7 linked regions of the Macaca fascicularis genome follow. The protein of the gene in region 3 interacts with the protein of the main gene of each other region in a pairwise test. Links are inferred from orthologs where the notes say so. Each region holds a gene or a part of one and is shown on either strand. Other genes may lie near its edges. The genes, in order: DPPA4, ZGPAT, LDOC1, POLL, FAM107A, FAM50B and PSMF1.

Region 1 (3,500 bases), on a different chromosome or scaffold from region 3:
TTTTCTGGAACCCAGGCTTGACCAGCATGAAACTGCAGGTGAACCCAACCATCTGTGTCTGCAGGGAGACTTTTCCCATGGACCACACACCACCTGACACCTGGCGAAGGAGAGAGACAGGCACCCACACACCAGGATGACATACCGAAGTAAGGCTGCATTATGGCCCATCACCCTTGATTGACCAACTCCAAGATGTGAACCCTGAAATCCTAACTTAACCTCTTCTCTATTCTGTTCTCCTTTAGAAAAGCATACAAGACAGTTCCTGTTAAAACTTAAAAATCTAGGCGGGGCACGGTGGCTCATGCCTGTAATCCCAGCACTTTGGGAGGCCAAGGCGGGCGGATCATGAGGTCAGGATATCGAGACCATCCTGGCTAACACTGTGAAACCCCGTCTCTACTAAAAATACAAATTAGCCGGGCGTGGCGGCGGGCGCCTGTAGTCCCAGCTACTTGGGAGAATGAGGCAGGAGAATGGCGTGAACCTGGGAGGCGGAGCTCGCAGTGAGCCATGATCACACCACTGTACTACAGCCTGGGCGACAGAGCAAGACTCCGTCTCAAATAAACAAACAAACAAACAAATAAATAAATCTAGTTGGAAGTAGTATAGTTGTAGGTGGGCAGATGGTAGAAAGACTAACCCAGAGTGTCTGGAAAGGGCTTCATGAAACAAGCTCAGGGGCCCCAGCTCTGAACACACATTGGATTGTGCTAAACAGTTTATTGTCTTCTTTTGTTGTATTTTCTGTAATTCTTACAACATATAAGCTAGGTGTCGCCCATTTTACAATGAAAACACTGGGAAATATTTTAAATAACTTATTAATGCCATTCTGGGGCTCAGCTGCAGGCAATTAATTTTAGATCTTACTTTTAAATTGCTTAGGCCGGGTGCGGTGGCTCACGCCTGTAATCCCAGCACTTTGGGAGGCCGAGGCGGGCGGATCACAAGGTCAGGAGATCGAGACCATCCTGGCTAACACTGTGAAACCCCGTCTCTACTAAAAATGCAAAAAATTAGCCGGGCGAGGCGGCGGGCGCCTGTAGTCCCAACTACTCGGGAGGCTGAGGCAGGAGAATGGCGTGAACCCGGGAGGCGGAGCTTGCAGTGAGCCGAGATCGCGCCACTGCACTCCAGCCTGGGCGACTAAGCGAGACTCTGTCTCAAAAAAAAAAAAATAAAATAAAATAAAATTGCTTAAAGGGGAAAGAAAGAAAACCAAACTGCTATCCTCTTCTGATGCCATCAATCATTTAAAGCAGTGGTTCTCAAACTGTGGTCCCCAGACCAGCATCCTTACTGCTGCCCGGAAAACTGAGAAATGCAAACTCTCGCTGGGTGCAGTGGCTCACACCTGTAATCCCAGCATTCTGGGAGGCCGAGGCAGGCGGATCATCTGAGGTCAGGAGTTTGAGACCAGCCTGACCAACATGGAGAAAACCCGTCTCTATTAAAAATACAAAATTAGCCGGGCATGGTTGCGCCTGCCTGTAATCCCAGCTACTCAGGAAGGCTGAAGCAGGCGAATTGCTGGAACCCGGGAGGTTGAGGTTGTGGTGAGCCAAGATCGCACCACTGCACTCTAGCCTGGGCAACAAGAACGAAACTCTGTCTCAAAAAAAAAAAGAAAGAAATGCAAATGCTCAGGTCCTGTCCTAGACCTGAATTAGAAACTCTGTGGGCAGGGTCCAGGAATCGCCGGCCCTCAAAGGCATTTTGATATACCCTAAAAATATATCAGGCATTAATCTCTACTAAGCTTATTTCCCCACTGGACCAGAATAAGCTCTTCGTGTTGGGCTTACCACAGGCCTCTTGTGGAGATTCCACTGCCTCTGGCGTCCTCGCCCTGGCCGAAATTCTCGCCCAGGAGGCCAGCAAAGCCTCTGGGGCAGAAGTTGTCACCACAACTGTATTAACTCCCTCAAGGAGAGCAGTGGAATCTTCCAGGGCAGGCGGCCCCTCCGCAGGGGGAAGGGCCACTTCAGGAGGATGTGTCTCAGAACTTTGCAGGGACGTTTCCCCTTTTTCCACCTTTAATTTTTTTTTCAATGATTTCCGGATTTTGGCCTCTTTTGCTGTGCTAGGAAAATCCTACAGAAAGGGTTAGATAATAAAGATAAAAATAAAGATTAAAATTCTAACAAAAATAAATGGCCTCAGAGTTAAGAAGTTCTTGATCAAATGCAAAGTTTCACTTAGACAGGAGGTCTAGGTTCAAGAGATCCACTGTACAACTTGGTTAATTACAATGTACTGTCTTCTTGAAAATTGCACAGTTGGCTGCACATGGCTCAGGTCTGTAATCCCAGCACTTTGGGAGGCCAAGGTTGGTGAAACACTTGAGGTCAGGAGTTCAAGAACAGCCCTGGCCAACGTGGTGAAACCGCATCTCTACTAAAAATACAAAAATTATCCAGGCGTGGTGGTTCATGCCTGCAATCCCAGCTACTCAGGGGGCTGAGACTGGGGTATCACTTGAACCAGGGAGGCGGAAGTTGCAGTGAGCCTGCACTCCAGCCTAGGTGACAGAGGGAGACTCTGTCTTTAAAAAAAAAAGAAAGAAAGAAAATTGCTGGCCGGGCACAGTGGCTCACGCCTGTAATCCCAGCACTTTGGGAGACCGAGGTGAGCGGATCACGAGGTCAGGAGTTCTAGACCAGCCTGGCCAACATGGTGAAACCCTGTCTCTACTAAAAATACAAACATCAGCCAGGCGTGGTGGCAGGTGCTGTAATCCCAGCTACTCTGGAGGCTGAGGCAGGAGAATCACTTGAACCCAGGAGGTGGAGGTTGCAGTGAGCTGAGATTGCGCACTGCACTCCAGCCTGAGCAACAAGAGCGAAACTTTGTCTTAAAAAAAAAAAAAAGAAAGAAAGAAAACCTGGGCACGGTGGGGCTCACGCCTGTAATCCCAGCACTTTGGGAGGCTGAGGTGGGCAGATCACCTGAGGTCGGGAGTTTGAGACCAGCCCGACCAACATGGAGAAATGCCGTCTCTATTAAAAATCCAAATTAGCCAGGTGTGGTGGCGCATACCTGTAATCTCAGCTACTCGGGAGGCTAAGGCGGGAGAATCATCTGAATCCGGGAGGCAGCGGATGCATGGAGCGAAATTCTGTCTCAATAATTATAATAATAATAATAATAATAATATAGTATGTAAAGTGATGTATGTATTAATTAGCTTGAGTTAGCCATTCCACAATGTATACGTATTTCAAAGCCATGTGCTGTACATGATAAAAATATACAATTTTTGTCAATTAAAAAAATTTAAGTGCTGCCTCTTTTTATTTTTGAGACAGCGTTTCACTCTTGTGCCCAGGCTGGAGTGCAATGGTGCATCTCAGCTCACGGCAACCTCTGCCTCCTGGTTTCAAGCAATTCTACTGCCTCAGCCTCCTGAATAGCTGGGATTACACACATGCACCACCACACCTGGCTAATTTTTGTATTTTTAGTAGAGACAGGATTTCACCATGTTGGCC
Region 2 (4,165 bases), on a different chromosome or scaffold from region 3:
CCTTACTGTTTAGACCTCTTACTGTTTAGACCCACGGTGGTGGTGATTTTGGATAGACTCATTCCCTTGTAGTTCTTGTTAAACCGGGTTTTTGACTGTTCCAGGAAGGTCTGAGGAGAGAGGGAGAGGCAGACACATCAAGTAGGGGCTACACTGGCTTCCCAAATATCCTTCCTCAGGCCTGTTCCTTAAGAGAGAAAAACAGAAACAAAGCAACACTCTGCTCTTCAGGAAGCTGGTGGTGACAATCCTGTCGTCTCAGGTGAAATGTGGATTCCATCTGGGTAGTGAACATGCAGCTGACAGCACAAAACCGAAGCGGGGGCCACCCGGCCGTGGGAAAGGTGCGGGCAAGGGAGTGGGCACTCACCGTCTTCCCAGCATTGTCCAGGCCCAGGATCAGGATGCAGTACTCGTCCTTCTGAAACATGTACTTGTACAAGCCCGACAGCAGCGTGTACATCCTGCCCTGGGCGCCCCAACATGTGTCAGTGTGCAGCCGGAACGCAGCTCCCCGCCCCCGGGCTTCTCCACGGTGGTCAGGGGCGCCCCACGTCCAGCTGGCCGCTCAGGACCAGAGCCTGGGGGCCATTCCCGACTCTCCCTCCTCCACCGCACCCCTGCAACTCCTCCCAGGCCGGCCGCCACTCCGTCCTTCCGCTCACAGCAATGACTGCGACCTTTCCGAACCCGCAGCGGCTCCGGTCCCTCCCCTGCTCGCGGGACCACCCAGCCGGGTGTTCGCGGTGAGCTCCGCTGCGCTCCCGCCCTCCCCCGAGGTTTCGCTCCCACGCTTCACGCGCGCGGAACGGGGAACACACTCGCGGCAGCCCCGCCTGGGCCCCCGCGCCCCACCCGGGAGCAGCGAGCCGCCGGCGCGCTCCCCAGGAGCTCCCCAGGGACGCCCCATCAACCCATTTCTTAAAACGGGGACGGCCAGCGGGAAGCGGACTACAGGGCGGGTGCGCAGCGGCCCGGCTGCTCCCGGAGGCGGCGCGCGGCGGGCAGGGAACGACTCCCGCGGAGAAAGAACCCGCGTCGGGGACCCCGGCTACGGCCGCCCCATGCCGCGGCCGCCAGGTTGGAGGCTCGCCGACAAGCAGCCAAAGCTGGTTCCTGTCACACCTGCGTCCCACCTCCAGCTCTGGGCCGCCCCTCGGGCCTCGCGCCCCACCGCATAGCCTGCGGCCTACCTGCGACCGCCGCGACCTCGGAGCCGCCGCTGCTGACCCCCGCTGACCTCCGCTGACCCCGCGCTAACCCCGCGCGGCGCCTGACGGGACGAGAGCCGGCCTCAGGGAAGGAGCTGAAACGCGTCCCGGCGGCCTCCGCGCTCCGCTTCCCGGCTGCCCCCGCGCGCCAGGCACTTCCGGAAGTGGCGGCGCTCGGGAGGAAGTGCTGGTCGGCGGCGGGGACGAAAGGGGGGTGCCGGGCCGCTCTAGCCGGTGAGGCCGGCGGGCTCTCTATGGCGGCGGCTGGGAAACCGCGCGGGGGAGGTTCCCTGCCCGGGGAGAGGGGACCCCGGTTTGCGGGGACGCGGCCTTGGCCAGACTGCAGAGACGCCGGGCGCGGGGGCGGGGCCGGCCTGGAAGGCAGCGGGCGCGGCGGGTGGGCTCGGCGGAGGGCCGGGCGGCGGGGCGCCCCGCGGGGAGGGGGTCTCCGGAGTGACGCGGGACCCGGCTAGCGGCGAGCCCAGGGCGGCTCGGAAGGGAAGCGCGGAGCCTGAGCGGGGGTACCCGGTCTGCGACCTCTGCGCTGGGAGCTGTGCCTCTGAGCCGGTGTCTCCCCGAGGGACAGGGGACGTGCCCGTGCCCTCCCGCAGTCTGTGGGGCCGGTCCCGAGACGCGAGGCTCACCTGGCTTCTCTTCTCGCAGCCCTGGTCCAGCGCCTCCCTCTCTCAGCATGGACGAGGAGAGCCTGGAGTCGGCCTTGCAGACCTACCGTGCGCAGCTGCAGCAGGTGGAGCTGGCCCTGGGCGCCGGCCTGGATTCGTCTGAGCAGGCGGACCTGCGCCAGCTGCAGGGGGACCTGAAGGAGCTCATCGAGCTCACCGAGGCCAGCCTGGTGTCTGTCAGGAAGAGCAAGTTGCTGGCCGCGCTGGACGAAGAGCGCACGGGCCGGGAAGATGCTGAGTACCAGGCTTTCCGGGAGGCCATCACTGAGGCGGTGGAGGCGCCAGCAGCAGCCCCTGAGTCCGGATCAGAGACCGTTCCTAAAGCAGAGGCGGGGCCCGAATCTGCAGCAGGTGGGCAGGAGGAGGAAGAGGGAGAGGACGAGGAAGAGCTGAGTGGGACAAAGGTGAGCGCACCCTACTACAGCTCATGGGGCACTCTGGAGTATCACAACGCCATGGTGGTGGGAGCGGAAGAGGCTGAGGATGGTTCGGCGGGTGTCCGTGTGCTCTACCTGTACCCCACTCACAAGTCTCTGAAGCCGTGCCCGTTCTTCCTGGAGGGAAAGTGCCGCTTCAAGGAGAACTGCAGGTAAAACCCTTTGTTATCAGGATGCCAACCTTGGGGCGTAAGGGGCACGCACACAGGGTCGGGTCAGGGTGGCCCTCCCTTTGCTTTGCAGTTTTGTCTCAGCTTCTTGGGGCAGGCATGCTTTGTGACAGCAGTGTCTGTGTTCAGGCGTCTGCGTCTTTGTTCCGGGGTAAATCAAGAAGCATAGAAGGTGGCCGGGTGCGGTGGCCCACGCCTGTAATCCCAGCACTTTGGGAAGTCAAGGCGGGCAGATCACCTGAGGTCAGGAGTTCAGGACCACGCTGGTCAACATGGTGAAACCCTATCTCTGTTAAAAACACAAAATTCAACTGGTCGTGGTGGCGCGCACCTGTGGTCCTAGCTACTCAGGAGGCTGAGGCAGGAGAATTGGTTGAACCCAGGAGGCCAAGGTTGCAGTGAGCGGAAATGGAGCCACTGTACTCCAGCCTGAGCAACAGTGCAAGGCTTATGTGGAAGAGAATAGGTCTCCAACCTATCGTCATTGTTTTTTTGTTTGGTTGTTGTTTTAATTTTTTTTGAGACAGGGTCTTACTTTGTCAACCAGGCTGGAGTGCAGTGGCGCAGTCCTGGCTTACTGCAGCCTGGACCTCCTGGGCTCAACTGATCTCCTGCCTTAGCGCCCCTAGTAATTGGGGTACAGACTCACACTACCACATCCAGCTAATTTTTGTATTATTATTACTTGTTTATTTATTTATTTTTTGAGATGGAGTCTTGCTCTGTCGCCCAGGCTGGAGTGCAGTGGCGCAATCTCGGCTCACTGCAAGCTCTGCCTCCCGGGTTCAAACAATTCTCCTGCCTCAGCCTCCCTAGTAGCTGGGATTACAGGCACCTGCCACCATACCTGGCTAATTTTTTTGTACTTTTTAGTAGAGACGGGGTTTCACCGTGTTAGCCTGGATGGTCTCAATCTCCTGACCTTGTGATCCGCCCACCTCAGCCTCCCAAAGTGCTGGGATTACAGGCGTGAGACACAGTGCCTGCTTTTTTTTTTTTTTTTTTTGGAGATAGAGTTTCACTCTTGTTGCCCAGGCTGGAGTGCAGTGGCATAGTCTCAGCTTACTGCAACCTCCTTCTCCTGGGTTGAAGTAATTCTCTGCCTCAGTGTCCAGAGTAGCTGGAATTACAGGTGCCCACCACCACGCCCGGCTAATTTTTTGTATTTTTAGTAGAGACAGAGATTCACCATCTTGGCCAGGCTGATCTTGAACTCCTGACCTCGTGATCTACCCGCCTCAGTCTCCCAAAATGCTGGGATTACAGACGTGAGCCATCACGCCTGGCTAATTTTTGTAGTTTTAGTAGAGGTAGGGTTTTGTCATGTTGTCCAGGCTGGTTTCACGCTCCTGAGCTCAAGTGATCCACCTGCCCTGGCCTCCCAAAGTGCTGAGATCACAGGCATGAGCCACTGCGCCCGGCCCTGTTGTTAGTTTTATTCTCTAGAGTTCAACTTGAAAACTTTACTTTTTTTTTTTTTTTTTTTTGAGACAGAGTCTCGCTCTGTCACCCAGGCTGGAGTGCAATGGCTTGATCTCAGCTCACTGCAAGCTCCGCCTCCCGGGTTCACGCCATTCTCCTGCCTCAGCCTCCCGAGTAGCTGGGACTACAGGCGCCCGCCACCTCGCCCAGCTAATTTTTTTTATATTTTTAGTAGAGACGGG
Region 3 (4,292 bases):
TGGGAAGAGGCACAGGATAGAAGGAGGGGCCTTGTAGGCCTTGGCTGCAACTTTGCTCTTTATTCTGAGGTGAAACTACTGGAGGATTTTGAGCAGGGGCGTGAAGGGATCTAACTGTTTTTGTTTGTTTGTTTGTTTGTTTTTGTTTTTTTTTTTTAGAGATGGAGTCTCGCTTGGTAACCAAGGCTGGAGGAGTGCGCTGGCGCTATCTCGGCTCACTGCCACCTCCGCCTCCCGGGTTCAAGCGATTCTCCTGCCTTAGCCTCCTGAGTAGCTGGAACTACAGGCACCTGCCACCACTCCCCGCTAATATTTTGTATTTTTAGTAGAGACAGGGTTTCACCCTGTTAGCCAGGATGATCTCGATCTCCTGACTCGTGATCCGCCCTCCTTGGCCACCCAAAGTGCTAGGATTACAGGCGTGAGCCACCGCGCCCGGCCCTAATTTTTGTTTTAAAGGATTCCTGTGGCTACTCTATGGAGAATATACTATAGGAAGAAAAGAGTGAAAGCTAAGTGATTAGTTGCAGCAGTCTGGGTGAGAAAGGCTGGGGATCAGGGTGGCAGTGGTAGAAATGACAAGTCATGACTGAATTGGCAATATATTTGAAAGCAGAGCCAACAATTCCTGTCGGCTCTAGGATCAGGGATCCGTTTAAAGTAGAAAAACAAAATTATTTAAAAACACAAACATCTTAACAGTTCATTTTTAAGTACAGAATAAAACCCAGTGGCCAAAGGCACTAACAGCAGGACAAGAAATAGAGAATCAAAGATATGTGGGATGCCTGCAATTGATTATTGGATGCTCATTTTGCAAAACTTCTTTATATCCTGCTACTTAGGTTTGTTTTTTTTTGTTTGTTTGTTTTAAGGGAGTATGCCGTATTATTCCCCTACTAAAGAAGTCACTGTTTAAATACTGCCTTTTTCATGAAAGGCAGGAACCCCTGAAGGTCTTCATGATCCTAAAAGGAAGTGTGAGTCCCACAGTGCAGCCAGCAGTGTCAATACTTCTCTGAGTGAGATTTAAACAAGAAAGAAAATGTGTTAATAAAACATCACGCCAAGAGAATCTAGTGGCCACAGACCCACGAAGGAACAACTGAGTTGTGAGAGTTGCCTAGGTAGAAGGGTGGCTAATCCTTTCAGTTTGAACAAATTTGCCTTCTCTGAGACCAAACTCAGCGCTCGCCAGGTCCTCTGCTAACGCAGGCCCCACAACCAGGAGCTAGGGGAGCCTACCCCAGCCTTTAACTGCCCGCCTAGAGACCTACCACAAGCCGGTGGTTCAGCGACCCAGTGCATCCTTTTCCTGGCCACGCCCTCTTTGTCTAAACCCTTCCCATCCCGGCCACGCCCCCACGCAGCCGCGGCCCCCAGTCTGGCCACGCCCCTCCCGCGCCGCGCCGGCGCACCATCCGTCCGAATGGCCTCGTGGGCGGAGCTTGCGTAGCCTCCCGGACCCCGGCGCGCACCGCCCCCCGCCCCCAGCCCCTGGCCATCGAGCGTCTCCGTGGACACGCACTTCCTGCGAGGCCTCCGTGCGCACCTTGGCCGAGCCGAACCGAGCCGAGCCCTGTCCTTCCAGGCTGTTCGCAATGGTGGATGAGCTGGTGCTGCTGCTGCACGCGCTCCTGATGCGGCACCGCGCCCTGACCATCGAGAACAGCCAGCTCATGGAACAGCTGCGGCTGCTGGTGTGCGAGAGGGCCAGCCTGCTGCGCCAGGTACGTCCGCCGAGCTGCCCGGTGCCCTTCCCCGAAACGTTTAATGGCGAGAGCTCCCGGCTCCCCGAGTTTATCGTGCAGACAGCGTCTTACATGCTCGTGAACGAGAACCGATTCTGCAACGACGCCATGAAGGTGGCATTCCTAATCAGTCTCCTCACCGGGGAAGCCGAGGAGTGGGTGGTGCCCTACATCGAGATGGATAGCCCCATCCTAGGTGATTACCGAGCCTTCCTCGATGAGATGAAACAGTGCTTTGGCTGGGATGACGACGAAGACGACGACGACGAGGACGAAGAGGATAATTACTAGGCCCTCGGGCCTCGGGGGGAGGGCCCTGCACGCCGTCACCCCCTCCCCGCAGCCCTCACCCCGCCAGGAGCCACTGCTCTCCCCCTTGCCCTCCGGTCCCCTTCCCTACCCGCGCCCGTCTGCTCTTTCTTCATTTCTCCGTAGTGCTTGTCTTTGTTCCAGGAATAGTGCTCCAGTTACCTGCTGCTGGGGTTGGGGCTGGAGCCTCACTCACTCGGAAGTGCTTGGAAGTGTCATCTACCCTGGCCATCCCGGGGATCCCTCCCCTGCTAATCTGAACTGTGTCCTGAACCCCAGCTATTGGCCAGGCCCCTGTTACAAACTGCGCAGACCACCCATAGCCCTGCTGCTGCCACCTGCCCTGCTGCCAGGCTTACATCTGCCCAGAGAACTATGCTGCCACTTCACATCCACTCACCACATCCCACCTACAGACTACCGCCTTTCGAGATCAGGACCAACCTGGAAAATGCCAGAGTTGGCTCTGCCTCTTCGGACATTGATTTGGACAGCTCACCAACCCCTGAAGAGGCCAATCATTCAGCCTGGTTAGTTTTCTACCTACTCCGAGTGTCCTCCCCTGCCATACCAGATTGCTGCAGGGGCGCGGTGTGCCTGACAGCCAAATTGTTGATATTTCTTTTTTCCTATGCACTGGTTTTACACAGCTGTCATTTTTCTTTCAAAATTGCAGCAGTCCCACAGATGTATGCATTTGGACAAATAGTACTAAAAACAAAACAAACAAGCACTCAGCCCAGCTCCTCAATACTACCTGGAAAAAGCATTGGCATTATTTTCAATAAATATCAAGCACTAAAAAACGAAATGACTGTCTTTTAATAGTTAAGTGCTATCACTGACCTCTAGAACTGTCACTGTGACTACCGTTATTCCCATGGAAATCAGGGAATACAACCAATCCTAGGAATCCCTGCTGTCAACTCCAGGCTGCTGGGGACAGCTACCTCAGGGCTTTGTCAGGGTTCTGATGCTTCCTTCACCAACGCATTTCTTAAAGCCCTGGCAAAGGGTGTGTTCTCTGGGTCCTCCAGGGTGGCATGGGTAAGGGTTGGCTGAGCAGATGGCAAAGAGGGCAGTATTAATAATTAGACCATAACAACAGGCATAAACCAGGACATATATATGTATTGCTCCTAATTCTCTGAGCTTTTGGATTCCTTAATATTGTGCCAGGGAAGTTCTGCCCCTTAATCCTTATTGCCTATATGCAGCTGTTGAGTTCAGGCTCCAGAGAGCCAACATAGTACATTGTCACTTTCAAACTCCAAATAGCCAACATGTCACTTACAGGTGCTCTAGCTAACATTAAGTCCCAGATCCTGGGCAAGTGCATCCATAAAGATATACCCTGATCTTAACAAACATTTCATCCTCCTTGGGCAGACATCCTTAGAATTTCCACTCATAGATGTGTCCCAGATTCCTCCCTATGGAAATTAGCAAGATGCTTGGTTATCTCTTAAATCAGACTTTGTACTGCTATCTGGGGGCTATGCTGAGATCTCTGGGCCTGGAGGGTTCAGAGCAGTGAAGGGGGTGGCTGCTGAGAAGAAACTGCATACCTGTGTGAGGCCATTGCCCCAGGTTAAGTCATTGAAATGTTTAATGCAGAGCAGCTTGGTTGGGGATTTGACAGGACTACCTCTTAGAAAGGTTTAGGAGGATGTGAGGGGTTCAGAGTTCTCATTTATATCTGTCCAGATGTCCTCCCTCATTGTACCATGTCTGGAGCCAACTTCACTTTATAACCTTTAATTAATTTAGATAACACATTTCCTTACTGTTTAAGGCCTTTTGAGGCAAGATATTTCATTTGTACTGGTAAACCTCAGTGTTGATTAAATGAGATATGGGGCTTCATATTAATCACCTGATAGGTGTGGATTATATGAGATCATACCCATGCAGCATTTAGAACTTTCCCTGCTACATGGTGAGCACTCAGTAAACCATGGGCTGTTACTCCTGGGCCTGGGGACAGAATTCTCAGGAAGCAAGTCTCTGGCTCTGAGCGTGGCTTTAGTAGGAAAATGTCAGCGTAAAGAGGAGCAGAGCAGGTTCAGCGATAATGGAAATGAGAGCATGATAAGACCCCATTTACTTTTTGAAGTCTTATATGAAGCAAGAAACAAAGCTGTTTACGTGGTGAACAGGCAAAGTTCAGGGTAGGAATTATATCTCACACCTAGGATAGCTGTTTCTGGAGGGTGGGGACAGGGGTGAGTA
Region 4 (4,011 bases), on a different chromosome or scaffold from region 3:
TGGGCTGTGACTGGTCCAAGTACCTGTGGGGATGGTGATGGGAGGTTAAGACACCAAAGGTCTCACCCTGTTTCTGTCCCCAGTCCTAATGTATTCTGAAATACTTGGTTTCCCAGTGTGTCCAATTAAGAAAATGAGTTTTTTGAGGTTTTTGGAGTTTCTCTTGAGATAGGGTCTTGCTCTATCACCCAGGCTGGAGTACAGTGGTATGATCAAGGCTCACTGCAGCCTCAGCCTCCCTGGCTCAATCAATCCTCCCACCTAACCCTCATATAGCTGGGACTACAGGCATATACCACCATGCCTGGCTAATTTTTAAATTAATGACAGTTATTTTTAATAATTCAAGAAGAGAGCTCAAGATGCTACTAGAAAACATTGGAAAAAAAGACTGGGATCAGCCCACCTACTGGGGATGAAGATGCTGAATCCAGCTACATCCACCAGCCTCCTCTCCTGAAGGCACAAGCTCAGCCAGGCTGACTTCACCAGCTGAGCACCCGGGGGCAGCCGGGGTAGTCTGAGAAGGCGGAGGGCTCGCTCATAGTCCATGCCTTCATCCACCACAATGTGAGTGACACCTGGGCCCTGGACAGGGCATAACTGGCCACCATGCTGAACAATCTGCTTCTCAAAGAGTTCTGCCCGGGCTCGTCCAATGCCAGTGCGCACAACATGGGCCCGAAGGGAGCTCAGCCACTCTGGGGAAGGAACATCCAGATGACTACTGTCATAACTTTTTAATTTTATCTGCCACCCCCTGGCCACAACTTCTAACATGATCTGAATACAACTTCTAACATGATCTGAATGACATGTTCACAGTCCCCTACCCTGAAAATAAGCATTTGTCTTCCATCCAGGCAGGTTTCCTTCTATATACAGCAAATTTTCTCACAGGCCAGTACTTGAAAGTAAGGGACAAGGATTTTTATACGTCCTGTTCCTTGGTGCAACCTAGAAGTGTCTGGCACATTGTAAGTAACCTGTAAATATCTGCTGAATGAATGCCTCCTCCCTTCTTACTTTGTTTTTGTTTTTGTTTTGTTTTTTTCGTTTGTTTGTTTGGAGACAGTCTCACTCTGTTGCCCAGGCTGGAGTACAGTGGCGTCATCTTGGCTCACTGCAACCTCCATCTCCCGGGCTCAAGCGATTCTCATGCCTCAGCCTCCCAAGTAGCTGGGATTACAGGCATGTGCCACCATGCCTGGCTAATTTTTTGTATTTTTGGTAGAGACGGGGTTTCGCCACATTGCCCAGGCTGGTCTCGAACTCCTGAGCACAGGTGATCTGCCTGCCTTGGCCTCCCAAAGTGCTGGGATTACAGGCATGAGCCACCGCGCCCAGCCTCTCTCCATACTTTGAATCCTTTATCATTTATTCTTTCAACAATGCACATTTCTTGCCCTTACACTCTGACAGACCCGACAACCCTGCCTCCAAAGCCTCTGCTATTTATTTATCAATTTGGCTGCAAAACAACTAACAACAATCCTGGGTAATGGAGGGGGGTTTCTGTCCCAGTCCCCCAGGGCAAAAATTATACTGGTCATTCCCTGAGGGTCCAGGGAGTCTTTTCCAATTGATAGGGGTGTTCAGGTAGAAAAGAAGATAACACAGCAAATGGCCTGTCCAAGACCCAGGACCAAGCTTAGTACAAGGCAGATACAAACAGACCTGCAGTCCATGGACAGGCAGAGTCAGCTCCAATATCTGATTCTGGACATGAACAACATAGGGCTGAAGCACATGAAGGCTGAGGGTTCAAGCGCATGAGGGTTCTGAGAGTGGGTCATCTCACCTTCTGCTTCTTCTCCCTCTTCCTTCCTGGGAATCTTTGCAAGTACTTTTGATGATGCATCAGCATGAATTTTCTTCCGTTTGGGAAACGCCTTCAAGATACCCCTGGGATCCATTGAAGTACGGCTGCATCCCAGCCTGTTGGAGGGTTGGTCAGGGCTGCTGTCAGGTGGAAATACAGAATTAAGGATCTCCAACCCCTTTGCCTATGGAGGTAGGGGGTAGCAGCCCAGTTTGGGGAAGCGGGAGGTTGGGGGGGATCTCTTCAAACCCCGTTAAACTAGCTTTTTAGCCTAGCTTCACACTCCCCAGTCTTTCAAAGTTGGAGTATTAGGGGAAATGAGGGGAAGGCTGGAGCCATCGGGGGTACTTTTAAGGAGTAGGAAACTATACCCATTCCTCAAAGGGGTTGCTCTAAAGATTCAGCACAGCCCTCCTGCTGCGGCCCACTTCGAAGGGCTTTACCAAAATGGGATGCTGGGCTAGGAAATGGAGCTTTAGGGGATGGAGCGGAGACTGGGGAGGACCTGCACATAAACTCCACATACTCTTTTTCTCCAACACAGACTTGCAGAGGAAAACCTGAGGAGGCGGACTTTCGCGGGTGAGTGGGAACGCCCTGCACCTGCCCTGGTCTCAGCCTCTCGACATGGGGATGCTCAGCGCCGCAGCTGCGGGGAGATGGGGCACGGCCGCAGCAGGTGTGGGGAGCCCTCCGGGAATGGAGGAGTCTCGCAGCTGGGGGTGAAGACCCGGGCAGGTGTGGTGTACTCGCCCTGTACGCAGCTGGCGCAGGCCAGGGAATCCCAGCTCGGGGCTAGTAGAGAGTTGGAGTGCCCAACCCCGGCGCCAAGAGTCTCTCTCCAACCGCCAGAGTCAGTCCCTGGGTGCGGTCGACAACAGGCCAAGTTGGTCACCCGAGGGTGGGCAGGAGTAGGCCACTTACCAGGAGAGCCAATGAGAACGGACGAAGGGGGGAAGGAGGGCAAATGCCCAGAATAGCTTCCGAGTCAGCCGGAAGTGACCTTCAGTGGAACGGTTGCCATGGCAGCGGCCGGGCGGGCTGCTTAGCAGAGGAAAGATGGCGGTGACGGGCTGGTTGGAGAGTCTGCGGACAGCCCAGAAGACTGCACTGCTGCAGGACGGTAACTCGAGGGTCCCCGCGAGCTCCTTCGTTTTTTTCCCCCAGGGTCCGGCCCTCCGGGAAGGGCCTCAGGGCCTGGGTCGGCAGAGCTGGAAGGGTCTCGGTGGTCAGCCGGGCCAGGTCCTGCATTTGCGGATGAGGAGACTGAGGCTCACAGAGATGACATGACCAGAACACATGTCTCCGGACACCCCTTAAATTTCTCTACACCATCTCGCCCCGCTCTGAGTTCTGTTGCTAATATAGTAATTTCTTTTACATTCGTTATCTCATTTGCTCCTCACCACTGTCCTGAGAGGCTAATTTTCCACCCCGTTTTACAGAAGAGGAAACTGAAATCCAAGAATGTTTTAGACTTTAGAGAGGAGAGAGGCCTGGGCTCTAGTTCCGACTGTGCCATTAATTCACCACGGGCTCTCCAGTTGGCACCTTTACTTGTTTGGGCCTCACTTTCCTCATCTGTAAAATTAAGTGGATGGACTACCGTTGTTATCTCTGAGGTCCTTTCCAGCTGTAATATTTTTGTTAAGTGAACCTCTAAATGTTTTCTGTGTCTTAAGGGGAGCTAGAGCAAGGACCAAGGGCTGTGCATGGAAGAAGTGGGCACAGGGGCATGGATATCTAACTTTTCCTCACCCTAGGATTGGCCGATGTCAGCCCCCTGTGCACTTGGGTCCTTTCTGGACCCACTGGGTAACCAGGATGAATTGTGTCTGAAGTTCCTGAGACTTTCAAGATAATAGCTGGTGATTCACATTCACAGGCAGAGGCCAATCAGGGAAGCCTGGAGTTTGTGGAAATTAAAATCATTTACTCGTTCGTGCAACATTTAGGGAGGCTTTTACTATGTGCCAAGCTCTAAACTAGAACAGAAAGAAAAAGATATGTTGTCACAGGACTTGGACTGGTTGGGAAAAACATGTATTTAAGTAATAAGATGTGTTAAATAGAGGTTGTAGTCTTGTATAAAATGGTAGGAAAGAGTGAAGGTGTAAGCGACATGTCTTTGGAAGAAGACCCAACAGAAGTGATGATGTTTCTGGGTCCTGAAGAATTAATAAGGCCAG
Region 5 (4,067 bases), on a different chromosome or scaffold from region 3:
AGCAGTGCCATGCAGTGAGCACTTTCGATGAGCCAGGACTGCCTTAAGCACTCGACCTACTTAGACTATTTCATTTAATCCTCCATCATGGATTCTTCTACTAATATTGCTCTAGACTCGGGGTAAACTGAGGAGCAGGACAGACCAGGCCCTGGCCTTTGTGGAACTGCCCTTCCAGGCAGAGGAGACAGACAATAAACACAGAAGTCCTATCATTTCAGTTGCTGATGAGTGCTACGACAAAGTAATAAACAGAGAGCCTGGGACCTGCTTTGCAGAAGGCATCGGAGAAAGCTGCTCTGAGGAGCCTGAAGGACAAAAAGGATGGAATCATGCAACGCTCAACATATGGGGAATGGAGGGGAAGTGGGGGAGGGAACATCCCACTCAGAAAGAATAGCAAGTGCAAAGGCCCTGAGACGGGGGGAGAGGTGCTGTGACCCAGAAACTGCCAGGGAGAGGGAGGAGAGGGAAACGGGGTCCTAGCAAGACCGTTGATCAGAACTTGTGGACCATGGGGGATCTCGCTCTGTTGGCAAGGCTGGATCTAGAATGCCTAATTCTTGACTCTCCACCAGCTGCCATTCTGTGAGTCATCTGTGTATGTGCTGCAGGCACCTACTGTGTGCCAGGCACCGTGCTAGAGGAAAGGAAAGGGTGGCAAGTTCTCCCCAACCCACCCGCCTCTTGGGAATGGGTGTTGTGCTTAGTGAACTGGTTATTCGGGACTTTCCAGTGGGCAGTGGACTTATCATTTGTGTTCTTAGCAGCGTGATAGCAGCAGTGCCTAACTTCTCTGAGGAACTGTTGTTTGCCAGATGCTCTGTGCATCCCCACAGCCCCATGCAGTGGGGGCAACTGTTACCCCACCTTTGGTGAAGTGACAGATAAGACGGAGCGACACGCTCTGATTTATGCTTTCACAAAACGATGGCTTGAGCTGTACACACACACCTTACCCCATATAGCTCTGTGCAGTGTGCTTCACACACACACACACACACACACACACACGCACGACATCGTGCCTCCAAGGCCACACAACTCTCGGGGACAGAGCTACAGTTCAAGCCCAAGGTCTCTTCAGCCTTAACCTCGGCCACAAGCTGGCATCACGGAGAAGGAAGAGGCTGGCAAATGAGGAGGAGGGTGACTGCCGGGGGCACTTTGAGAACTTGGCCCCAGGCCTGAAATCCGGCCTCCAGATATTTTCTTGGCCTGAGCCCAGACCAGCCACCCTCCAGCCCTCCCAGGCAGCCTGCTGCCCAGTTGAATGAAGGAGTCCGCTCTCAGAGTTTCTGCCGTGGGAGAGCCCCGGACCTCAAGCGTCTTCAAAGGTCTATTATTAATGGGGCCATCCAGCTGAAGCTGACATCCCCAGCAGCCCTCCCAGAGCTCTGCACCTCAGCCAGCCCATGGCCTCCACTCTCTGGCCCTGTCTGCTGAGCGGTGCCCAGCAAGACGAGAAGGCCAAGTCCTGCCCGCTGGGCCAGCCAGAGGTCACCTGCCGCGCCTGAGCTACCGGTGTGCGGTGAGAGGACTGCTCTGCGTCTTCCCTCGGCTCCCAGCTGCCTCAGTTTCCCTTCCTGAGAAAGGCGGGGTTCTGGGAGGTGAGGAGCTGCAGGGACCCACGAAGGGCATGGAAGCCGCCTGGGGACACTGGCCCGTCTGTCAGGATCAATCGCCCTAAGCCTGTCTGAGGCGCTCCAGGCTTAGGAGCAGCTGTGAAAGCCGCCTTTGTGCCTGGGAGAATGAGCCGCAAGAGGACAGGGGGCCCTGGCCCCGGGAGCCCCTTGGGTCCTGGCTCCTGAGATCAACGCCATCAGGGAAGACCCCAGCCTGGCCCCTGCAGCCCACCCAGGCCTGGTGCCCACTTCGTGCCATGGGAGCAGCCCAGGGGAAGAAGGTAGGAACCCCCAAGTGTCCTGTTGGGGCCCTGGACATGGGAAGGGAGACTAGACCTAGCAAGTGGGAGCCCCAACCCACCTACCCTGAAGCTTCATTTGGCACTGCCCACCAGCCCTCCTCCTGGAACTCACAGCCAAGACTTGCATCTAGAAGGCAGGCTGGGGCTCAGGGAAAAACCAGTGCCCTATCTCTCCATCTCTAGGACAGACTTGGGGACAGCCAAATCTCTCTGGCTCCCTGGTCTTAACCACACACATCTCTACTTCCCTGAGTAAAAGCTCCCTGGGTACCCCTTCCCCATACCTCAGGAGACTGTCTGACACAGGTGGATACAGGGGAAAGATCTTAAAATTGTTATTATTATTATTATTATAAAGTTGACTAACCAGCTGTTACCAGTTGTAGGGCAATGGGCAAGTTATTTAAGCTTTCTGTACCTTATTTCCTCACCTGTAAAATAGGGCCACTAATAATCACTACCTTGGAAAATCATTGTGAAAATTAAGTGAGTGAAAGTGTTTAGAACACTGCCTGGCACTGTGTAGAGGCTTTGCTCCGTTATTATTAGAATTCTGTTCATGTTATTATCTCTCGCCTTCTAAGCCTGAGCTCTCAGCTAGAGGTTTGTAGACAGCACTGCCTTAGCAGTGTTTCTGGAAATGTGCTCTGTGGACCCCTGCATCAGCGTTGTGGTGTGGGGAATAGGAGGGAGCTTGTGAAACAGTCACTTTCTCAGGGCCAGTCAGACCTCCTGGGTCAGCCTCTTAGGGGCAAAGAGGGGAGGGGCCTGCACTTACTAGCTCTCAGGATTGTCCTACATGCTCACTGCTCTCCGCCCACAGCGACTCAGCACTGCCGTCCCAGTGGCATAGCCAGGCTGCCGGGTCCCAGCTCCACCACCCACCTACTGAGGCGATGACCTGAACCCCTCTGGACCTCAGCTTCTTGTTTGTAAAAGGGGGCTGGTACCTGCTTCGTGGGAGGTTCAACAAGATGATGCCTTTGAAGTGCTTTGTGTGCTACCCCACCCCCAGAGGCTCCCCAATAAACAGGGGACTCTGATCCTCAGGCAACCAGTGATGACCTGTTCCATCAAGGTTGAGAAACTCAAGGAAGAAGTAATTTCTTAGCCAGGGTCATGCAGCTAGTGGGGGAAAGAGCAGGGTGCTGTTGTTGTTGCTGTTGTTAATTTGGAAAGAGGAGCTTTATTTCTCATAAAGAGTTGCAGCCTGCAGGGTGGCCATTCTGACAGGCTGGGAAGCATGGCCTCTGGCCAGAATCCAGAAACTGACACTTTGAGGAAGAGGCAAAGGGAATAGAAATTTATGCTGAGCAGCATGGCCAAATATACATATTCAATAAGCTGTGGGAGGAGTCATGCATATTTATGAAAGGAGAAACATCTGCATGCACAGTTGAGCTCCATGCCTCTTATGGGCCCGAGATACAAAAAAATGTTGGCCTTAGTGTGATCAGAGGGTGGAGTTTTCAGCCCTCTGATGTCAAAGGTGAAGCAGGGGGCACAAAAACCCTCACTGTGCATCCTCTGCAGACTGGTTAGAACCGCTCCATGATCCGCGGTCTCTTATCAAGAAAAAATGCTGGTTGGTTTTTGTGTTAAAACCACAAAAGGGAGGCGCAGTTGGTTGAAATCAGTATGGAGTCTTTTGAAAAGGCCGGTTTCTGTTTAGCTCTTAGGGAAGAAAGTCTAATGGAGGTTATCAAGGGATGGGGCACTACGGGGCGCGTGCAACCTCCCATCCCGTCATGGCCAGAAACTTGGTTTTCAAGATTTCTCTGGGGTCTCCTTGGCCAAGAGGGGGTCCGTTCAGTCACTTGCCGGGTAGGGGGGTGTTTAAAGTTTTATTTTTATTTCTTATTTTTATTGGGTAGGATTTTGACCCCGTTCTGCTTGATTCCAAACAACCCAGCCCATCCCACCCTTCCTGGTCCATAGCTCTGTCCACGGCATCTTCCTCAGCCCCACCCCAACCTCCCACAGAAGGCTGTTGGTCAGGCACCTGCTGCCCTGTGCCAGGGCCTGTGTGGAGCTGGAGCCAAGGGTGAGGAGACACAGCCCCTGCCCTTGAGGCCATCCCTGTCAGTTGTGGAGACTGATAGGCAGGTAAAAAATAGTTGGGAGTGTGTGTGACAGTTGA
Region 6 (3,645 bases), on a different chromosome or scaffold from region 3:
TACAGGCACAGTTTTTTTATTTTTAGTAGAGACGGGGTTTTACCATGTTGGTCAGGCTGGTCCCGAACTCTTGACCTCAGGTGATCCACAAACCTTGGCCTCTCAAAATGCTAGGATTACAGGCGTGAGCCACCACACCCGGCCTGAATACAATATTTTTAAAAATCAAAATTAACATAAATAATTCACAATGAATAAAATACAAACGTTTTCAATAAAGACAGGATCTGCAACTGTGCCCTTTGGAGTCATATTGGAGCAAAAGGAAAATCAATGATACTCACCCTGCAGGCTACTTGCATTAGCTCTGTCCTCCTAACTTCTGGGCTAAACAACCCAGCTAAAGGCAACTAGAGGGGGGGTTGCTCCCCAACCTTTGCAAGCCCCCTCCTGCTGGCAACTGCTGATCCTGGGACCGGTAATGGGCAGGTCCACCTTTGCCCTCAAATGGTTCTGAACTAGGTCACTGAAGTCTTTTAAATAAATTAACCAAAACCATAATAATAACAAAAAACATTTATTAAGTGCTACGTGTTTTACAAATATTAACTCAAACCTCACATCCATCTTTTAAAGTAAGTGCTCTTGTTATTTCCTTTTACAGCTGACCAAAGTGAGGCATGGGGGTTTAATAAGCTTACCCAAAACTACACAGCAAGGAGGAAGCTGCGTCGGGAATCAAACTCAGTCACTGTGGCCCCCAAGACCATGCTCATAACCATGAGGTAAAAAATGTGCCTCCTCTTCTAATTTCTGTCTCACAGTGGGCCCAGACATGGTTTCAATACAGCTCAGCAGAGCAATGCAGCAAATCCAGGTAGGGACACTAAAATACTCAGAAAAGACCAACCAAACAACCAAAGCATAACATCAGCAATAGGACAACCAATATGAATCATGAGAACCCTCTGGCTTTATTAAATTTGGGGGAAGAAATCAAGGTCAGGAAATCAAGTGACTGGTGGCGGGGCATAGAAAGGAGTGTCTCCCCCGGTTTCTGCTCTGGCGGGCGGGTGTCAGCGGATGGTGTACTTGTCCCACTTCTTCTCGGGGTCGTAGGCCTCCCAGCGGCTGGCGGGGAAGATGTGCTTGTTCTTCTCGTACCAGCTCCGCAGCACCACCTTGCCCGCGTGCGACTCGTCCTTCTCCATGGTGGCGTCGCTGAGCAGGCGCACGTCGTCGTGCACATCGAAGTTGAAGAGCGGCCCGCTCTTGCCCCTTGCCTTGGCGATGATGAAGTCATAGAAGGTGTGGTAGTGCGGCAGGATGAGGTCCTCCTTGATGAACATGAGCTGCTCCACGCCCGCGGAGCGCAGCTCCAGGAAGTCCTTGCGCAGCCCCTGCAGCGCCTTCTTCAGGAACTGCTGCACCGTGTTGCCCTTGCGCACACGCACGGTGCGCCGGTGGCCCGAGCCGTCCCAGTAGCTGAAGGTGACCTCCATCTCCTCGTCCTTCACTTTCTCGCGCTGCGCCTCCCACTCTTGGCGCAGCTCCTCCCGGAGCCGGTTCTCCTCCTCCTCGCGGTCGCGGTCGGGCAGGAAGCTGGTGTCCACGTCGGGGTTCTTGCCCAGGTTTCCGGCGCGCCTGGCCTCGGCCGCGTCCGCCTGGTCATCGAGGTCGTCGAGCGCGAAGGACAGGCAGGAGATCTTACGCTTGCGCTCGCGCCGGTGCTCCTGCTCCCGCAGCCGCTCCTGCTGCAGCCGCTGCTCCTCCAGCTGCTGGCGCTTGGCCAGCTGCCGCTCGCGCTCCCTGATCAGGGCCTCCTGCCGGGCCTTCATGTCGTTCAGGGTCACCAGGCCCACCGTGCTGGACTTCAGCTCGGCCTCCACGGCATCGTAGTGCGCCGAGAACTTCTTGTCCACCTGCGACTTGAGGATGGTCTCCTCGGCGATGCGCTGCTTCAGCACCTCCATCTGCTCCCGCTGCTTCTCGCGCTTCTTGAGGAGGTGCATGGCACGGCCCGCCTCGCGCATGGTGCCCTTGTACTGCGCCATGGCCCCCGCCTACCCGCTGGGCTCTGCAGCAAAGAGGAAAAACGGGGCAAGTAGAGAGGGGCCCGTGCAACTGCGGGAAATGCAAAGCTCTGCGCCTCCTCACAGGGCTTTCGGCAGTGATGGAAGCGTTTAGGGGCTGGGCCGACCTGCTAGGGTCACCAACGTGACGGTGTCACCACGCACCAATTTCCAGCCTTTTCTTTGACCTCAATAAATGCAAATGCAAATGGCCCCACGTAACTGGTGGCTGCCATGCCTGAGCGCTGCGCTGAATTTGGGGAGCTGCATACAGAGAGGGTTGGGCTACTGAGCGAACCCTTACCTGCCCAAGCACCCTGCCGAGCGGAGACACGCGGGAGTTGACCTCCACGAGAACCACCCACGAGCAAAGGCCCACCCGTCCCGGGCTCTCGCGACAGCCACGGACACAGGAAGTGGAAGCGGTGCGCCCCCTGGCGGGGAGGCGGGCCCTGAGGAGAGCGCCAGGCTCCTGGTAGGGCGGCTGCGGAAACAGGAAGTGGAGGCGGCTCGCCCCCTGGCGGAGAGGCGGGCCCTCGGGAGAGCGCCGGGCTCCTGGCGGGGGCGGTGCTCCTGTGGGGCGGGCCAGCGCGGGGAGGAGCCTGGAGGAGGCGCCTCTGGCCCTGCCCAGCCAATGCTGGCCGGAGCTCCTGTTTTCATGCTGTGGGCAGGGAGGGCCCGCACCTGCGGTGCGTGCTTGCTGAGCCTTCTCGTGCCCAGTTGTAAACACGCAGAAGCAATGTGGGCACAGCGCAAGCTGCTGTGGTCACCCAGAGAGGCTTGCAACCGCCTCGCAAGGCTGCAGCCCCTGCTCTCCAACTCTCCTCCTCCCGCGTCTCCTCCCGCCTCTGATGCTACCCCACTGTGGCCGTCTCATGAACGTTACCTGCACACCACTGCTTGTAATTCTTTCTTATGGCCCTAACATAACAACCGTTCTTTGATAATGGAACCCTACTCACCCCCCAATTTCATGACAAAACCTGCACTCAGCTTGTTAGACCTCTTCTATACAGCAGTATCCCCCCGGGTTCTAAGCTCTAATAACCATGGGAAACTGAGTTAAAGTATAGCAGTGTCTTTACTGTGAGCCTTTAACATGCCAGTTTCCACTGCAACTCTCCAAGGGCAGGGCAGACCAATTCATGTTGTGTGATCGTTTCTCCCCTGCAGGAGATCTGGGAATACTCGCTGAAACCAGTGCTTCCTGGGACCTAGTTTGGAAAAGCTGGTTGTGAAATACACACTGCAGTTCAGCCTACTCCCGTCTAACAGCAACAATGCCTGTGAGCATAACCTTACCAAGAAGCGTGAATCATATGATAGTTACGTATGGCACCCACGTATCCAGAGGAGAATAGCGGGTGTGAGCACTCATCAAATTGTCCAAGCCAGAAACCTAGGCCTTTTCCTGGAATGACGTTCCTTCACATGAAATCGATTACAGAAGAGCCTTTCACATTTTCCTTTTTCTCCCATTCCCCACCACTTGCCTTAATGTAGGAAATTAGCATTTTTTAAAAATCTGAAGCCTTCTCATTGTTGCCTCATCACCAGAATACAAGAATATCTTATTTTATTGAGCTCTGGGATACTGTGTGTTTTGTTTTTGTTTTTACAGATTGAAGATTTG
Region 7 (2,455 bases), on a different chromosome or scaffold from region 3:
GATCGGGACCCATCTTAGTGATGTCAGGAGCAATGGCAATTAATGAACGGAAGATGCCTGAGAAGCAAGAATGGGCCCTGGGCAGGAAAAAGAGTCATTCAGCCCTACAGAAACTCAAACTCTAAAGTCTCATAAATGGAAGGAGCTATGCATTAATGTAAAAAGAAAAGTGGGAAGCCGGCAACATGAATTCTGTATTGACATTTGGTTCTTAATAATAACATCCAAAATGCATTCTGTTCTTATAGCACTGCATCTGGTCGAGGATATATGTTGCTGAAGGTTGCCGGAGTCTCCCTTGGGAAGTGGGGAGGAGTTGGTGGTGAAAGGGGAGGAGCTGGTGGTGAAAGAGACACACTGATTTCTCTTTGGGAGCTATCCGCAGCTAGGTGGAGAGCTGCAGCAGGTGTCTTGGCTCTGATAAGGGGTGGGGAGGCTATCCCAGCCGGCCTGCAAACATGTGAGCAGAATCCCTTGCCCCCAGCCCGCAAGAACATGGTTGCTGATGGGGACAGCAGTGGCAGCTCCAGGAGAGTGGAGGGAAGCCTGGGATGTTACATTCTTGAGGCCTTCACAGGTACATGTCATCGTAGCCCGGCGGGGGGAGATGGTCTGGGTTAGGTCTGGAATGGAAAGAGGGGCTGATGAGTTGGAGTGATGGAGAGACCAGGGGGACATGGGCAGACGTGACCCTGCACTGAGGGAACCTGCCCTTCAAAATGATGTGGTGGTGTGAGGAATTTAAAAACATGCACTCAAGAGCCAGACAGCCTGGGTTTGAATCCTGACTCCCCCACTTGGTATAAGCTACCTAATCTTTCAGGGTCTCACTTTCTGTATCTATAAAATGTAGACACCACTATCTACCCAAGACTGCTGAAGAAAGGATCCAATGAGTTTCTGACACATACTTAACTTTCAAGAACTGTTAGTTCCTCCTCCTACTTTGAGTCCTCCCCAGAGGGGAGCTGGGGAAAGAGAGGCACTGAGGGATAGGGAGCTCCTAGAAGGCTCCAGGGAGACATCAGGCAGGGCCCTGGAGGAGGCTCCACTCTCCTGGCAGCAACAGGTGAAGGCAGCGGCAACTGTGTGCCTGGGGCTAGAAACCTTCGTTGCTGCCACACTGAGCCAAGCTGCCATCAGGTCCTACTTCTCAGCATACCTGAGTGACTACCTACCCAGGTGGGCTGGTCCCAATGGGTCCGAAGGGGTCAAAGCGAGCTCCTGGGGGCACAGCGCCTGGAGGAAGCCGGTTCGGGAGGCCTGAGGAAGGGTCAATAAGTGCTCTTGGGAAGCCAGATCTCAGGGGATCCACAATCATGCCACCTCTCCGATGCCTAAGGCAAGAAGAAAAGTTGGGTAAGCAGGTGTGGCAAGGACTGCCCTTGGAGAACAGGTGAGGGAGGTGAGAATGGACCAAGAATGGCTGGGTTGTCTAATGTGGATGGCCCAAGCAGACATGTGGATGGCTGCCTGAGAGCCAGCAAAAAGTGGGCAAGGGCAAGAACACAAAGCCTATACGAAGAGCATACTTCACAGCTGAGTACTTTTGGCTCTGCAGGGGTTGGTTCTTCTGCACAGTGCTTTTGGTTCTGTAGGGCTCCTCAAAATTGAGATCCCTGCCTTATCCTATACCCAAGAGGGCCAACTTGATCAAGACCAAGAGCCAGAACTTGCCAAGGTCAACTTCAATGCACTCACAAGGTTCTGCAGGGTGCTACTCTAGGTTTAAGGACTAATAATAGCATTGAGAAAATTCGTGATGTTGGTTTTTTTTGCTCTTTCCCTTAAGGGCCTCAGGGCAATTTCTGACTGCCTGTAGATTGCCTAAGTCTGGCTCCTGACAGCATCTGTCCCTCATGGAGTTCCATGGACCTGACCTCATGTGCTCAAACTAGGATGAATGAGCTGATGGTTCCCCAAATTTTGAGGTCACTGCTTAGTTATATCCCCACTGTCTAGGAATGAGATGCTGAAGTTGGGGTCACTTTGCGGCAGAGGTTAAGATCTAGTTGGAATCATTCAGGGAAGAGAGTGGAGAGCAGAGGCTATAGTAACTTTGTTGGATGCATGATAAGAACCGTCCAGAGTCTAATGGGGCTCAGAGGCTCCCTTTATCAAGTGGGGTAATCTCTGAATAGCCCTGAGCTGCCCTAAGGCCCACCATCTGCTCTTCACTATACAGTTGATAAACTAGGGTGGGCAGGGGGACCGGGAAATGGCAGAAGAGCTGCCTGCTGGGCTTGCTCACCTCCCTGCCAACACTCAGCGCTCTCCTGCACTGCTCTAGCTGAGGAGGGACAGCGCATGTGGCAGTGCTTTCTCAGCTGCTCAGCAACAACTCCCTCCTCCACCCCAAAGGAAGAGACTGACTGAAAACTCTAAAATTAGAAGATGAACTGGGGCTGAAAAGCCATAAAAGCAAGTTGTGTCGCTGCCACCTCCCCAGCAGTAC

What was found.
Region 1: the proteins of LDOC1 (region 3) and DPPA4 interact in binary tests that used the Homo sapiens proteins (3 or more experiments, as listed by UniProt). The two-hybrid records come from large-scale screens. The link is inferred for Macaca fascicularis from reciprocal best matches to the Homo sapiens genes LDOC1 and DPPA4.
Region 2: the proteins of LDOC1 (region 3) and ZGPAT interact in binary tests that used the Homo sapiens proteins (3 or more experiments, as listed by UniProt). The two-hybrid records come from large-scale screens. The link is inferred for Macaca fascicularis from reciprocal best matches to the Homo sapiens genes LDOC1 and ZGPAT.
Region 4: the proteins of LDOC1 (region 3) and POLL interact in a two-hybrid assay, tested with the Homo sapiens proteins (2 studies listed by BioGRID and IntAct). The two-hybrid records come from large-scale screens. The link is inferred for Macaca fascicularis from reciprocal best matches to the Homo sapiens genes LDOC1 and POLL.
Region 5: the proteins of LDOC1 (region 3) and FAM107A interact in a two-hybrid assay, tested with the Homo sapiens proteins (2 studies listed by BioGRID and IntAct). The two-hybrid records come from large-scale screens. The link is inferred for Macaca fascicularis from reciprocal best matches to the Homo sapiens genes LDOC1 and FAM107A.
Region 6: the proteins of LDOC1 (region 3) and FAM50B interact in binary tests that used the Homo sapiens proteins (3 or more experiments, as listed by UniProt). The two-hybrid records come from large-scale screens. The link is inferred for Macaca fascicularis from reciprocal best matches to the Homo sapiens genes LDOC1 and FAM50B.
Region 7: the proteins of LDOC1 (region 3) and PSMF1 interact in binary tests that used the Homo sapiens proteins (3 or more experiments, as listed by UniProt). The two-hybrid records come from large-scale screens. The link is inferred for Macaca fascicularis from reciprocal best matches to the Homo sapiens genes LDOC1 and PSMF1.

What each region holds. Positions count from the first base shown.
Region 1 is NC_088376.1:173,739,436-173,742,935, reverse strand, and holds part of DPPA4 (developmental pluripotency-associated protein 4), read right to left. Parts: intron 2,104-3,500; coding exon 1,815-2,103; intron 101-1,814; coding exon 1-100. UniProt on the Homo sapiens protein: May be involved in the maintenance of active epigenetic status of target genes. May inhibit differentiation of embryonic cells into a primitive ectoderm lineage.
Region 2 is NC_088384.1:119,823,809-119,827,973, forward strand, and holds the start of ZGPAT (zinc finger CCCH-type with G patch domain-containing protein), read left to right. Parts: upstream 1-1,365; 5' UTR 1,366-1,445; intron 1,446-1,874; 5' UTR 1,875-1,902; coding exon 1,903-2,483; intron 2,484-4,165. Other genes in the region: ARFRP1 (ADP-ribosylation factor-related protein 1), read right to left, coding at 23-110, 371-469, 1,126-1,179. UniProt on the Homo sapiens protein: Transcription repressor that specifically binds the 5'-GGAG[GA]A[GA]A-3' consensus sequence. Represses transcription by recruiting the chromatin multiprotein complex NuRD to target promoters.
Region 3 is NC_088395.1:147,494,884-147,499,175, forward strand, and holds the start of LDOC1 (protein LDOC1), read left to right. Parts: upstream 1-1,492; 5' UTR 1,493-1,601; coding exon 1,602-2,042; 3' UTR 2,043-4,292. UniProt on the Homo sapiens protein: May have an important role in the development and/or progression of some cancers.
Region 4 is NC_088383.1:110,560,526-110,564,536, forward strand, and holds the start of POLL (DNA polymerase lambda), read right to left. Parts: upstream 2,801-4,011; 5' UTR 2,747-2,800; exon of another isoform or gene 2,349-2,746; intron 1,963-2,348; exon of another isoform or gene 1,939-1,962; 5' UTR 1,917-1,938; coding exon 1,802-1,916; exon of another isoform or gene 1,775-1,801; coding exon of another isoform or gene 1,678-1,774; intron 702-1,677; coding exon 407-701; intron 24-406; coding exon 1-23. Other genes in the region: protein DPCD, read left to right, coding at 2,882-2,945.
Region 5 is NC_088376.1:121,733,594-121,737,660, reverse strand, and holds the start of FAM107A (actin-associated protein FAM107A), read left to right. Parts: upstream 1-1,267; 5' UTR 1,268-1,882; coding exon 1,883-1,906; intron 1,907-4,067. UniProt on the Homo sapiens protein: Stress-inducible actin-binding protein that plays a role in synaptic and cognitive functions by modulating actin filamentous (F-actin) dynamics. Mediates polymerization of globular actin to F-actin. Also binds to, stabilizes and bundles F-actin.
Region 6 is NC_088378.1:169,219,106-169,222,750, forward strand, and holds FAM50B (protein FAM50B), read right to left. Parts: upstream 2,418-3,645; 5' UTR 2,317-2,417; intron 2,018-2,316; 5' UTR 1,995-2,017; coding exon 1,017-1,994; 3' UTR 501-1,016; downstream 1-500.
Region 7 is NC_088384.1:86,226,481-86,228,935, forward strand, and holds part of PSMF1 (proteasome inhibitor PI31 subunit), read right to left. Parts: intron 1,338-2,455; coding exon 1,179-1,337; intron 624-1,178; coding exon 572-623; 3' UTR 1-571. UniProt on the Homo sapiens protein: Plays an important role in control of proteasome function. Inhibits the hydrolysis of protein and peptide substrates by the 20S proteasome. Also inhibits the activation of the proteasome by the proteasome regulatory proteins PA700 and PA28.